Linked DNA regions of Saccharomyces cerevisiae S288C. Changing the gene in region 2 together with the main gene of any one other region gives a genetic interaction. Each region holds a gene or a part of one and is shown on either strand. Other genes may lie near its edges.

Region 1 (8,149 bases), on a different chromosome or scaffold from region 2:
TCTGCGATTGCATATACAGCGCAGTATTGTTGACAGTCCGAGGTCAGAACCAATCCTGGAAATGCAATACGAAATCTCGAATCATAAGAGAATGCAGACGTATCATTTGCACTAAAAAATAGGGGATTGGGAGCGACGTAGGTCAAAAACATTGATCTCCGTTTTAGAAAAACATGCTTATCTAATAAAGACCCGTCAAAGCACATTTCAAGAGGAATCCATGGGGGCCATATATCTGACTCTTTGTCGGAACCATATCCATTTTTATGGAAAAATCTACCTTCAGGACCCTCTAAATCCTTTTTGAACAATGTAAACAACTGAATGTCCTTTGAAACAGCGGAATAGCGAGTTTCAACAATAGTATCGACGTCAACGGGAATTCTTTTTCCTGATTTTCCATACACTTGAACTATATCAATTATTCCCATTTCTATATCCCTAGCAGCTAAAATAACTGCTGCGTTCCTTTCAACGTCCGATTTGATCTGAACCTGAGGGGAGATTAGTCTAAAAAGATAATTATCAACATAATCAAAGTCATCACTCGGAACTTCTCTGATGAGTTTCTCAAAGTGCTCAATAAATTCTGAATTACTGGCTAAATCGTCCTCAAGTATTGAACCATAATCTTCTACAGATGTTCTGACCCCAGTCAACACATTTCCCAGTAATTCTTTTAAAATAGTTACGGATTTATAAGTCACAGCAAACCTCATAGATTTCCTTTCGAAAGCACTGGAAGCGTATTCCAAAAGGTGATGCCTGATTTTATTATCGATTTTTAACTCGATATTATGGACCATGAAACGGTTATCATAGGTGGACTCAACCTGCATAGTAGAGGCTTTTCTCATTGATACAAAAGACTCCACGGTATTGGTCCTCAATAGCGATATTCTATTTTGAATTGGCGGTGCATTTTCCAAATTTACATCAGTATCGGAGAGTGAGCTGGAGCTATCACCATCAGTATTTCCTCCAGGAATAGTCTCCGAGATTTTTAAATCGCTCAAGATGGTGTTGACTGTGTGCAATCTGTGGTTTAATTCAGCTACCTCTGCTTTTAATTCGCGTGCATAGCGCTCCGAATTTCCACTTACCGAACCTCCGCCTTTGTTCGATTGCAATTCGCTTAACGTAATATGTAATAATTTTAGTTGTTCTTCTATTTCTCGTTTTCTTTCAGTTGCTAATTTCTCCTGCGTCAATTCTGGATGATTCTTGCCAATCAGACAATTGTGAGATTCTTCGGTACCAAATGGGTAAGCTAGTACGTAACCATCATCATTTATTTTTCTAAAGTAGGATATTCTAGGAGAGTATAGCAATGGTATTGCTTCTAATTTTAATGGAAGTGAGGAACCAAGCGGCACTTGATTCAAGTCTATATAATCCTCATAATCATACCAATCTGATTCACGCAAGTATTCCACATCTTGAGGCGTAATAGGACGTGATGGCTCGTCTTCAAGTATGCCATCGAGTCCAGAAGTAAGAATTTCCTTAACTGCTTCCTGATCAAACAGAGTTGATAATATCCTAATATCTGCTTCTGCACAATCAATCTCACCCCTAGACATCTTAAACTTCCATACAGGTTTTGACTTATTTAATTTTTGGTTCGTATGGGTCAGTTTAACTCTTTTTTGATGCAAATCAATTTTCAGTGAATCAAACCTCCCTTTCAATCCAGTAAAAGTTATTTTGCGGTCTTTTTCAAGATCATATTGAGTAGTAATATGCCGATAAATATGCGTAACCATTAGCCGTTTTAAATGTAGCTGATAAGCTATTGTAAATAATGAGCGACCAAACTTTGTCTTGTTTTGAAGTACATCCGTAAATAACCGTCCTTGCCTAATAGGACCAGATGTATATGTATGAAATAAATTCCACCACTTAAAGAAATGTGTTAAAGCGTAAGGTGCGAGATAGAGACTATTTATGGATCCGTGCTCAGAAGAATAGACACCAAATGACATGTGGATAAAAGATGTTCTAAATCCTTTGTATGTATCATGGTGATCCAAATCTGCGACTCCATCTGGATTCATCAGCTGTATTTCATAATGTGGCCTATTTGGAAGGAACCTCTCTTCGTCACCAGCCTTAGATATATCGCCTTGTTCAAAAAGTAAACCTAATGTCCAAATTACTCTTCCATCGAGCTTCATAAAGACTTTATCAAATTTACTAACTTTGGCAAAGTCTGGCACTGCCAACTGAAACCTTTGGGATTCAATTTTTAAAAACTCTTTAGGATCCGTGGAGTTATGAACGTAAATTGTGGTGCCACCAGACCAGCAGAACGCCAGACCCGCACCATCATCTGTAATCTTATAAGGATCATGTGAACCTTTAATATTTAAGTGGATCTCACTTTCCTCTGAAAACTCGTATATCCACTTCCCATGCACTAAATATCTGAATTTGTCCCAAAATCCTAGCTTTTTGGACGGATCGATGAGAGGTTTGGTTAAAAAATCAAACCAAAGCATCAAAGACTCATAACCGGGTTGCAGAGATTTCCCCCATGTTATTCTGGCAGATGAAGAAGATGTAACCATTGACCTAATATTGAAATATGTTTTGACTGAATTAATTGTACGAATGATGTGCAAACCATATATTGTATTGGCGTCATTATAGGGGCTTCTTTGGGCAGAGCTGACAAAAGGAACATAAACAGTATGAAGCGCGCAAGGTGCTGGCATCTTTTCAGCAAATACAACATCACCTGTTGTAAATGTGTCGGGAAATGATATAGCAGGTATTGGATAATCTCTCAGACGCAACTCCCATAACGCGCTTTTGATTTTGAGGCCAAGAATAATTAGCAAAGTGTACTCCGTAGATTTTGGAACTTTTTTTCCATACTGGTAAACAAAATCCATATAATTGTCTAAAGGGAAGGAAGGACTGCCTAGTTTAAAATCCAAATCTTTTACGACGAGGTTAGCAACAGTACTGGTTTTCTGTCTAGTAAACAAGTGGTATTTCGTACCAAGCTCTTCACGGCTGATAACCCGATAAGGCATACCATAAAAAGAAAGTTTTGCTTTCCTGTATCTGGCAATCCATGACGTTGAAAAGTTTTCTAACAACCTGAGATAGGCCTTTTGCTCATATTCTTGATCATTCGCATAAAACTCTGGGAAAAAACTTTGTCCACGGGAGGTATCATAGAGCGACCTTAAACGTACATTCATGTCCTCATATGTTGATAGCTTTTCCTTGAACTCTTCAAGCTTCTTTAACCTCTCACGTTGTTCCAAAACACCAACTTTCAAAATTAATCCTAACTCCTGCTCAAAAGGATCTTCTTCAATATCAATTAGAAAATCCTGGCAACAAATATGTAAATTTGGAACTTTTTTCGGAAACTGTTGCTGAGGGTATAATCGCTTAAATTCATTCAAATTGGAAAATGCCAATTTAATTTGCTTAAACGATTTATACAACGTGACTATGTTATCCGTTATCATGTAAAATCTAAAATGATATTCGGCATGAAAATGAATCAATGAGGTGTTTATAACAGCGGATTTCTTGCAGATCAACTCTTCAGTGTCTAGCTCAAAGTCATTAATATTTAGCAAGGAAACATAAACCTTAATATGCTTCACATAAACCGATACCACGTACGCTGACAAAGATGCAATTGTAAGATTTTTAGTGGAACTTGAAAGTCCAATCCTCTCGAATATTAGGAGTACCTCTGTATTATGAGGAAGCGTTAGCTCTATAATCATCTTTCCTATATCTACTCTTAATCTATCGAGAACATTGACAGATTTTACACTGCTCACTGAATTTCGGCTCAATTTTGAATTAGGACGAAATTTTATCCATATACTCCGAATATAAAACCACAACCAGATAATATTTACATCCATCTTAAATTTAATCTTGGGAAGTGAAAAATGAATTTCATCTGAGTCGTTAAAACTCAATAACAAATTGGTAAATTGAATAATAACCTCAGGAGAGGGCTTATACGTAGTGCCATCCATGAAACGATATACGGATGCATCAATAATAGTGAAGTTTTTCTCCTGGCTGTCCGCTAACAATATTGATTCTGTAAAAACAACTTTGGCGCCTCTAGTTACGTCAGATAAGTTAAAATTCTCAGCTTCCACAGGATCCAAATTTTTCGGAAGAAACCCAGCGACCAGTAACGAACATGAAATATCCTTCATTCTAAGTTTCAATGACCAGTTAAATGTTTTCTTGGCTTCATTTAGGTCCCCCAATTTTCCACCATTCGCTTTATGAGCCGCATTCCTTTTTGTTCTGCTAGATATTAGCAAGTAAATTTTGTCAAAGGCGCGACTTAAAGTATGCAAAACTTCAATGTTCTCAAGACTAACGTACGAATGTCTTAGTGTAGACTGAACGATCAATTTAGAATTTGAAAATTCATCCAGAAATGTGTCTAATCTTTCAAAGCCACAGACTGGTATAGACACTGGGTTAGCGTCCTGCTCTGTTGGAATTCTCAGGTAAGAGAGTGATGTACCCACAATTTTAATATAGTTAGATAATTGATCAGATACTAGGGCTGTCTTCGCAAATGGCCAATCCGGACGTATTTGCATTACTTGTCCCTTTTTAGGAGTCATAGACAAGTTGTTACGGCTAAAGAGAGCATGTGTGCTGAAGACCTTAAACGTCACATTCTCCTCATCTGATATATGCAGCCTTGAAATAAAATTCGACATTAGTAGTTCAAAGTTAAAACTGGGCAATCGATCAATATCTAAATCTAAAATATTTAATGATCTGTCGTTTGTGTTAGTACATGATGAGGTCTCAGGGCTATCGAATTTGTCCACTAAATGAAGAACTTCCAGTACTTGATGTATAGTGAGGAATACTGAAGGATTTATAATGTTCAAAATGGAAGATACCTTCGTTCTCCGTAAAGGTACATTGTCAAGTAAAAATAGTAAAATATCTGACGTCAGTATGACATTTCCAAATGGAATTCTAACTGCTGTATTACCATCGATATCTACTACAACAGCATTTGCAGAAAGTGATAGTTCAAAATCGCCCCATGTGGGCTTATTTAAGGGTAAAAGTTCCAAAGCGGAGACATTATTTAGAATGGAGATTGATTCCAAGTAAAGTTGAGCACTTGATATGCGAATTGTAAACTTTTTTTTGTAAATCAACTTTACATTTTCTACCTTAAGGTCCAGAATGTTCAAAGTTTTCAGTGGGTAGTGAAAAGGCTTTAGCATCTTACGATATGAAGTGAGCATTTCCGCATCATCACCAGCAGAAAAAGGCTCAACAGGCTCCGAATGCAAATTCTTCCCTTTCTTCTCTGGAAGATGCCAACAAACATCACTTATTTTGAGACTTGATTTCCAATTTTTTAGTATAACTTTTGTGCAGTTGCTGCCTGTATCATCTTCCTTTCCAATTTTACAGACCATAAAAAAACCAGTATGGTTCAAAGTATCTTTCGTTTCAGGATGGGTAAAATCATGCAAAAATGCCTCTAACTTTATGGTATCATCGTGTGGGTGTGATATCGTTATGGATCCGATATTTAATTTATATTGTTTTCCATTAGGCACTGTAAGAGCTAAAGTATGAAAGAAAGTGGAAAATGAGAACACAAGTTTCAAAATTGATAGGACTCGCCTGTTAATTACAAAGGTAAAAGTTTGATCCCGCGGATTGAAATATGTTCTGGAGTCTTTAGTTGAATGTGCAGTGATATGGCTGTCCTTCCCAAATAACTTCAAATCAACATTATGAAACACAATTCCGGGTTTCCAACCTATTCGCAAGGTTATCTTGCCAATATATATTTGAGCAAAATCAGTTAAGATAAACGCTCGTCTTATTGACGTACCAAAAAAGTATCCAAATGAAATTTTTCGTATTGTGGAATGGCGCAGCATCAATATCCATGACATGAGAATACTAGCGATTTTCTGAATTGATATAATAAAAAGCATAAAGCCTAATAATAGTTTAGACACATCCCTTATTTGAGACCACGGTAACATAGACATTGTAGATTTTTTTTCTTGCAATAAACAGGATACTCCAGCTACTAGATATTATGGATGACAAGCCTACTCGAGAAATTGATCAGCAAAACTAAATTGAATGCTTAGCTTTTAAATGTAAGCCTTTTCGTGGGAAAAAGTGTATGATTTAGTTTTCAAAGAAGTACCTTCTATAATGGTAAATTATTGGTTGTGCTCTTGAATATAATGCATGTGTATGCCCTTGAAGTTTTTAATACAAAGCCACTAGTGCAAACAAATCAACAAATCTATTTACCCTTAATGTTCCTCTTTATCAATCATACAGCCTTGCAGATGGATGGTAAGTGATGGACTATAGAACACCTCAGAGATATTTTACGTAGATGTGCGGGATTAAGGGTTCTGAATTCTCCTGCCCGAGGCGCCCAAATTTTTCATTTTCGGATTGCAAAATGATGCCATTCGCTGACAGCCAGTTTTGTATTCATTGAATAAGAATAATGGCAAATTCAGAGAGACAATTCCAGCGATATATCCCGCTTTCCTTCCTTTTTTCTTCCGCAATCAGTTAACTGAATGAAACAATAATGTACTATAAAGGTGTTTGATGAGATCCTTGTCATTGTCGGCATCCAGGTAAATTCCATTAGTAACTGCATCTTTACTCACGATAGCTTCTAGAGTTGGCTCGTGGAGATAACCAAGGTTAAAGACAGACTGTGTAATTGGTAGCCCTTTACCATGACTAACTACTTGTATTTCAATCGGGGGTGTTTTTCTCTTGTCACAAATGAGTAAAACACGATTTATCGAAGAAGGTCCAACATTCGGTATCACTGAAAGTCTTGCTTTTATAAATGCGTGCAAGTTAGCATTGTATTCCGTTATAAATGTAGAGGAATCAACTTCTAGGCTCTTTGGAGTTGATGTTTGCAATACCGAGATTGGGAACCATGACGTCGCAGCCGCCAAGTTGTCTTGTACAATGGAGGCTGAATTCAATACGTACGAGCTTTTGTATGATTTGGAATAATCTAGTGTAGGTACCAGTTTTAGTTTATCTTTATCAGCATGCTGATCTTTGCCAGTTGATGGTACCACTTTCAATGGAATTAGTAATTCTCTACACGATTTTAATTTTGAGATTTTTTCTGCTCTCATTGGAGAAGCTAAAAGCCTACCATATAAGTTATTTTTTAAATTGAAATTTTCCAAATGGAACTGCCCCACCATTTCCTCTTCATCTTTGAAATAGAGCTTCTTGCGCTTATCCGACCATTTCTCGAAGTTTGTAATGAGCGGAGAAACATCTTTGACTCGTTGGGCACAGTTTTTATTAATGACTCTCGTTGGACAATCTATGAGTAACTTCTTATATGCCGATTTAGGTAAACCCATATTTGATTTTGAGAGGTTCCCAGGAGAATTCACAACAAAATATTATTCGAAGGCTCCTATCGTCATCATGTACCGTGGCGCATTGCCAACCTGTCTTATAGAAAGGCCGATGTCGTAAGCGGACCGGAAAACTGGAGATGAACAGGCATTGCCAATCCTACCGCCACTGTAAAAAACAAGTAAGAAAAAGATAATTATGGACGCTGGCTTTCATTTTAAAATAACATCAAGTTCAGATGATACTTCTGAAAAATACCCAATCAGGAATCTATTTTTATTTGGTAGAAGACTACTTTGTTTACTTATAAAAACATGATAACTATCTAAGAATATATGAACTGATTGCGTTTAACTTAACTTTTCCATTTTGTCTTAATCTTCTTCGTTTCCGGTAGTTAATGGGTTTGTATTTTCAGCAGGAACATGACCCAGGACTTTCTTGTTGCTTATTACACTTATCAAGGAACCAAATGACATGCTCTTCATCTGTGCAGTCTTATTGGACAGGTTTTCATAGTGTCACTTACTTGACGCGGATGTAGCAGGTACAGTATTAGTACTTCCCTCCTTGCGCGAGTGAAGAGACTTATCATTCGATACAGTAGATGTTAGTGGGACGTTTTCCGCACTATATGTCTTTTTCAAACTGCTATAAGGAGCTTCAACACCTTTAGATGTAAGCGGTTCCTTCAACGTTAGACGTGATTGTGAGGCGCCCTTCTCATTGCCGTAGA
Region 2 (3,513 bases):
GGAGGCTTTTAATGACTTTCAGTTTCTGTGAAGAGAAGGCTAACAGCTCAATGGTTCGAAAGGTAAAGAAAACGGCAGGTCGGTAGCACTCGATTTTGCTAGAATGGAAATCATATAGAGAACAATTGAATAGTAGGCCTTGGTTTTTAGTGTTGTATTCATCATGGTCATATGTGACATAGGTAATGTACATATATATATAAAAAAAAAAAAAAGCAATGCTGTGAGATCATTCGTTACTTACGAAATACGCAGATTGCAATTTGAAATAAGCTGTGTTTTCTTTTTTTTCCTTTTTTTTTCTTTTTTTTGGCTTGTTATATACAACTTTTTTCTATTTCTGTTCTTTTTATGAGTAATTAATTGGTACATGGGAAATAAATATGAATTATATTAAATGAAGTAAAAGTAAAAGAAAACGGGGAAATTTATCGTTTTGTAGTAAATAGATGATGGAACGCATTCATAAAATCTCACAAAATATTACAATAAACCGCAGTAGTGGGTAAAAATGTATTATACAACGTCTAAAATCTTGAAAATGAATTAAAAAAAAAAAAAAAAAAAGTGGGATGATTATGCAGGGAAAAGTATAAAGAAAAGATCCTAACAAATCGGGTTGGTCAATCCTCTAGTCCAAGCATAGGATCCGAGAGTTATCACCAATAAGCAATATGAAATTGCAATCGAAACAGTATAATAAATAAGCATGTTAATAAATGATAGCTTATACCCTTCATTGATAAACGTGCTAATGGTACTCAAAGTGCCGCAAAATCCGGATATTAACGCAGAAACAATATGACATGAATTCAACGAGTTCACAATTGGAACGTCCGTAGAAAAGTGTTTTTTACCACGTTGCACCATGGTAAATATGCCAATCAATAAAGTGGCGAAAACGTTTGCCAAGAAAGTACCCAATGGAAACTTTTTGTTTGTTTTATTAAACATTTCTGCCAACCAATATCTTAGGAAACCAGCGAAAATTCCAAATAGACATGGTAGTGTCCACTTGCCCCTCGAATAGTTCTCATAATACGCACACAGCACCACAAACAAAATAATTAATGGAAAAGCTAGTGCATACGCGAGTTTATCCACAATATCAAAAAATTTCTTAAAAAATGGTGCTGGAGTTTTGAATTTAAACTCTAGAATATTTTTTTCCATTTCTTGTGTATCAACATCACCAGCATTTTCCTTTACAGTGTCTGAGGGAGGGGTATATGGCTTCGAAAACGAACTAGATCCATAAGCAACAATAACCTCCTTACCAAGTTGCCTACCGAAAATAAGACTACCCATGGAAACCATAAGATGAACGAGCAAGACAGATAAAAACTCCATTATACCGTAAGCTCTGTTCGGCAGTTTTGTGTGGTTAGCGATATTACCGTTAGTTAAGTTTGTAGAGTGTTCGAACATCTCTAGCAGCATACTAGAAAAGGAAGACAGGGCACCACAGTACCCAGTAGTTACACCTAAAAACAAGACTTGGTGATCTTTCATCCAAGTGTAAGCATTTAAAGATTGCATAATCCCCATTAGCATGCAGGATGAACAATTAGACCAGAGAACGGTCGGAGCAGTAACGAAGGCCGGAGTGTAGGTGGAAAGCGCCGTTATAGCCTGACGTGTTTCAGTACCTAATATGCAGAACGTGGTGAATGTACAAAAAACATGAATATAATGGCTCAACTTGTGATTTGATATGACCGGATTGAAAATCATCAGAGCATTACACGCTCGATTAAATAATTAAATAACTGCAGATTCTTGAGCCACCAGAGGCTAAATAATAATGGCGGCAATAAATATAATCCATTAGTACTTATTTCAGTTGTTTTTTGTTTTATTTTTTCCGTATCTCTTCTGTATCTCTTCCATCATTGCGTCAAAAGTGATTTACACTTCTACATGAATCGCGCCACTTTATGTCAGTGAATCTTTCATACATCGCAACTCCTCACTGACAGTGACTCTAGCATAGTCACCATCTTTCGATATACCCATCAAAGTGCACGATTCTCCTCCCCTGTTATACAATCGTAACGTAATATTGACATGTATTCGTAGCTCCGCTGCCAACTAATTTTCAGATCGTTCATTGTACATAAACCAAGCGCTGTTGCTTTACTTTATGATATTGCTGCTGAGCTCCCTTGTCTTTCATACGACGTTTTATCTTGATTTCATATCTTTTTTTTTTGGTAAAATAGAAAATACTCAACAGATATCTGATATGTATATAAACACTAAATAAAGAAAATCTTAAATCTTGCTGGCATGACTGTCGCTGTGTCTCAAATCTCTTAGTAATTCATAGATGTGTATCACCCCAAATCTCAAAAACTTCATAATCATTATTAGATTATCTAGAAATCATACCCTTTATACTGTCCCACAATGGCCTTCTCACAGGAGGCGCTAATGATTACGATTAACCATCAAATCATTTATATTGATACACTGTAGTTTACTGTTAATAACCAACCTTTGTCGAGATTCATCAAAGTGGGTTCCAAATCCCTCATTGTGGGAACCTGGTTCAGTCATACCCATTGGAGATGGGCCCCAGGAAGGAGTGTAACAAACTTCATCCCAATTGCATTGTCTCTCACAACGGTAATTTAGTTCAATCCACCCTAGAGATTCAATTAAACCATCGATAGTGGAGCGAGCCGTTTCGACATTCTTTATTAAGTCGCTGGAAGTTGTGTTATCTGTCATAAAAGAGTAGACTTCGGGTATCAATAAATCATTCACTTTATAAATGGCATCAACAATTTCTCCGACCACGCTGACAGCAGATGACCAAATCAAAAAGTCTGCATCCGTTTTTAAGGCCTGGTATGGGCTCACATATTGGTAGACAGCAAAGTCTTTCCCGCTACCGAATTCATCACTGTTGTTGCTTGCAGGCTCAAACCTTAAACAAAAGTTCAATGTGAGTGCTGTTGCATTGATGGCAATTGACTCATTAATATCACCATTGCTGTTCAGTATGTTACTAACAGATTTTAGTAATGGAGCAAATTTAAGGACAAGCTCATCAAATGCTAACTGCCAATCCATACTTTGCGTGGCATCAAATCCGACTTCCAGAGCCTTTTCTAAGTCATCTACCATGTCCAATTGCTTTTCCCATGTCATTCCTTCATCGAGTAATCTTCTGTTGTTAGGATCAGGAGCAATGTAAGTCCTGTTTATCCCGCTCACTAGGTACCTATAGTCGATATGGATTCGATGCTCCCCGTTGTCATGCGCTGTACCCGCTCTCAACTGATTGAAGCTCTTAACTGCGTTGAAATTAGAAAAAGTCTTCTCCCAACCATCTTCTCTTTCCAGAATCGCCTTTTGGTCATCTGTTAGCTGATCTTCAACTAGGTTTCCATTTTCATCCAGAGGCCAACCTTCCTCTTTCGATATAACGGTAGGTGCTGGTAAGCCTAGGTACTGGTTAGGCTGGACCATTTCTAACATTGAAACAAGTTCGACGTTATCAGCCGA

Evidence for each region.
Region 1: mutations in FEX1 (region 2) and HOB2 together harm fitness more than expected from each alone (negative genetic interaction), as found in Saccharomyces cerevisiae (2 studies listed by BioGRID).

The regions. Positions count from the first base shown.
Region 1 is NC_001148.4:757,914-766,062, reverse strand, and holds the start of HOB2 (Hob2p), read right to left. Parts: upstream 6,039-8,149; coding exon 1-6,038. Other genes in the region: RRG8 (Rrg8p), read right to left, coding at 6,582-7,415; RGC1 (Rgc1p), read right to left, coding at 7,935-8,149. UniProt on the Saccharomyces cerevisiae protein: Tube-forming lipid transport protein which may bind to phosphatidylinositols and may affect phosphatidylinositol-4,5-bisphosphate (PtdIns-4,5-P2) distribution.
Region 2 is NC_001147.6:1,075,005-1,078,517, reverse strand, and holds FEX1 (fluoride transporter), read right to left. Parts: upstream 1,735-3,513; coding exon 607-1,734; downstream 1-606. Other genes in the region: YOR389W (uncharacterized protein), read right to left, coding at 2,431-3,513. UniProt on the Saccharomyces cerevisiae protein: Fluoride channel required for the rapid expulsion of cytoplasmic fluoride.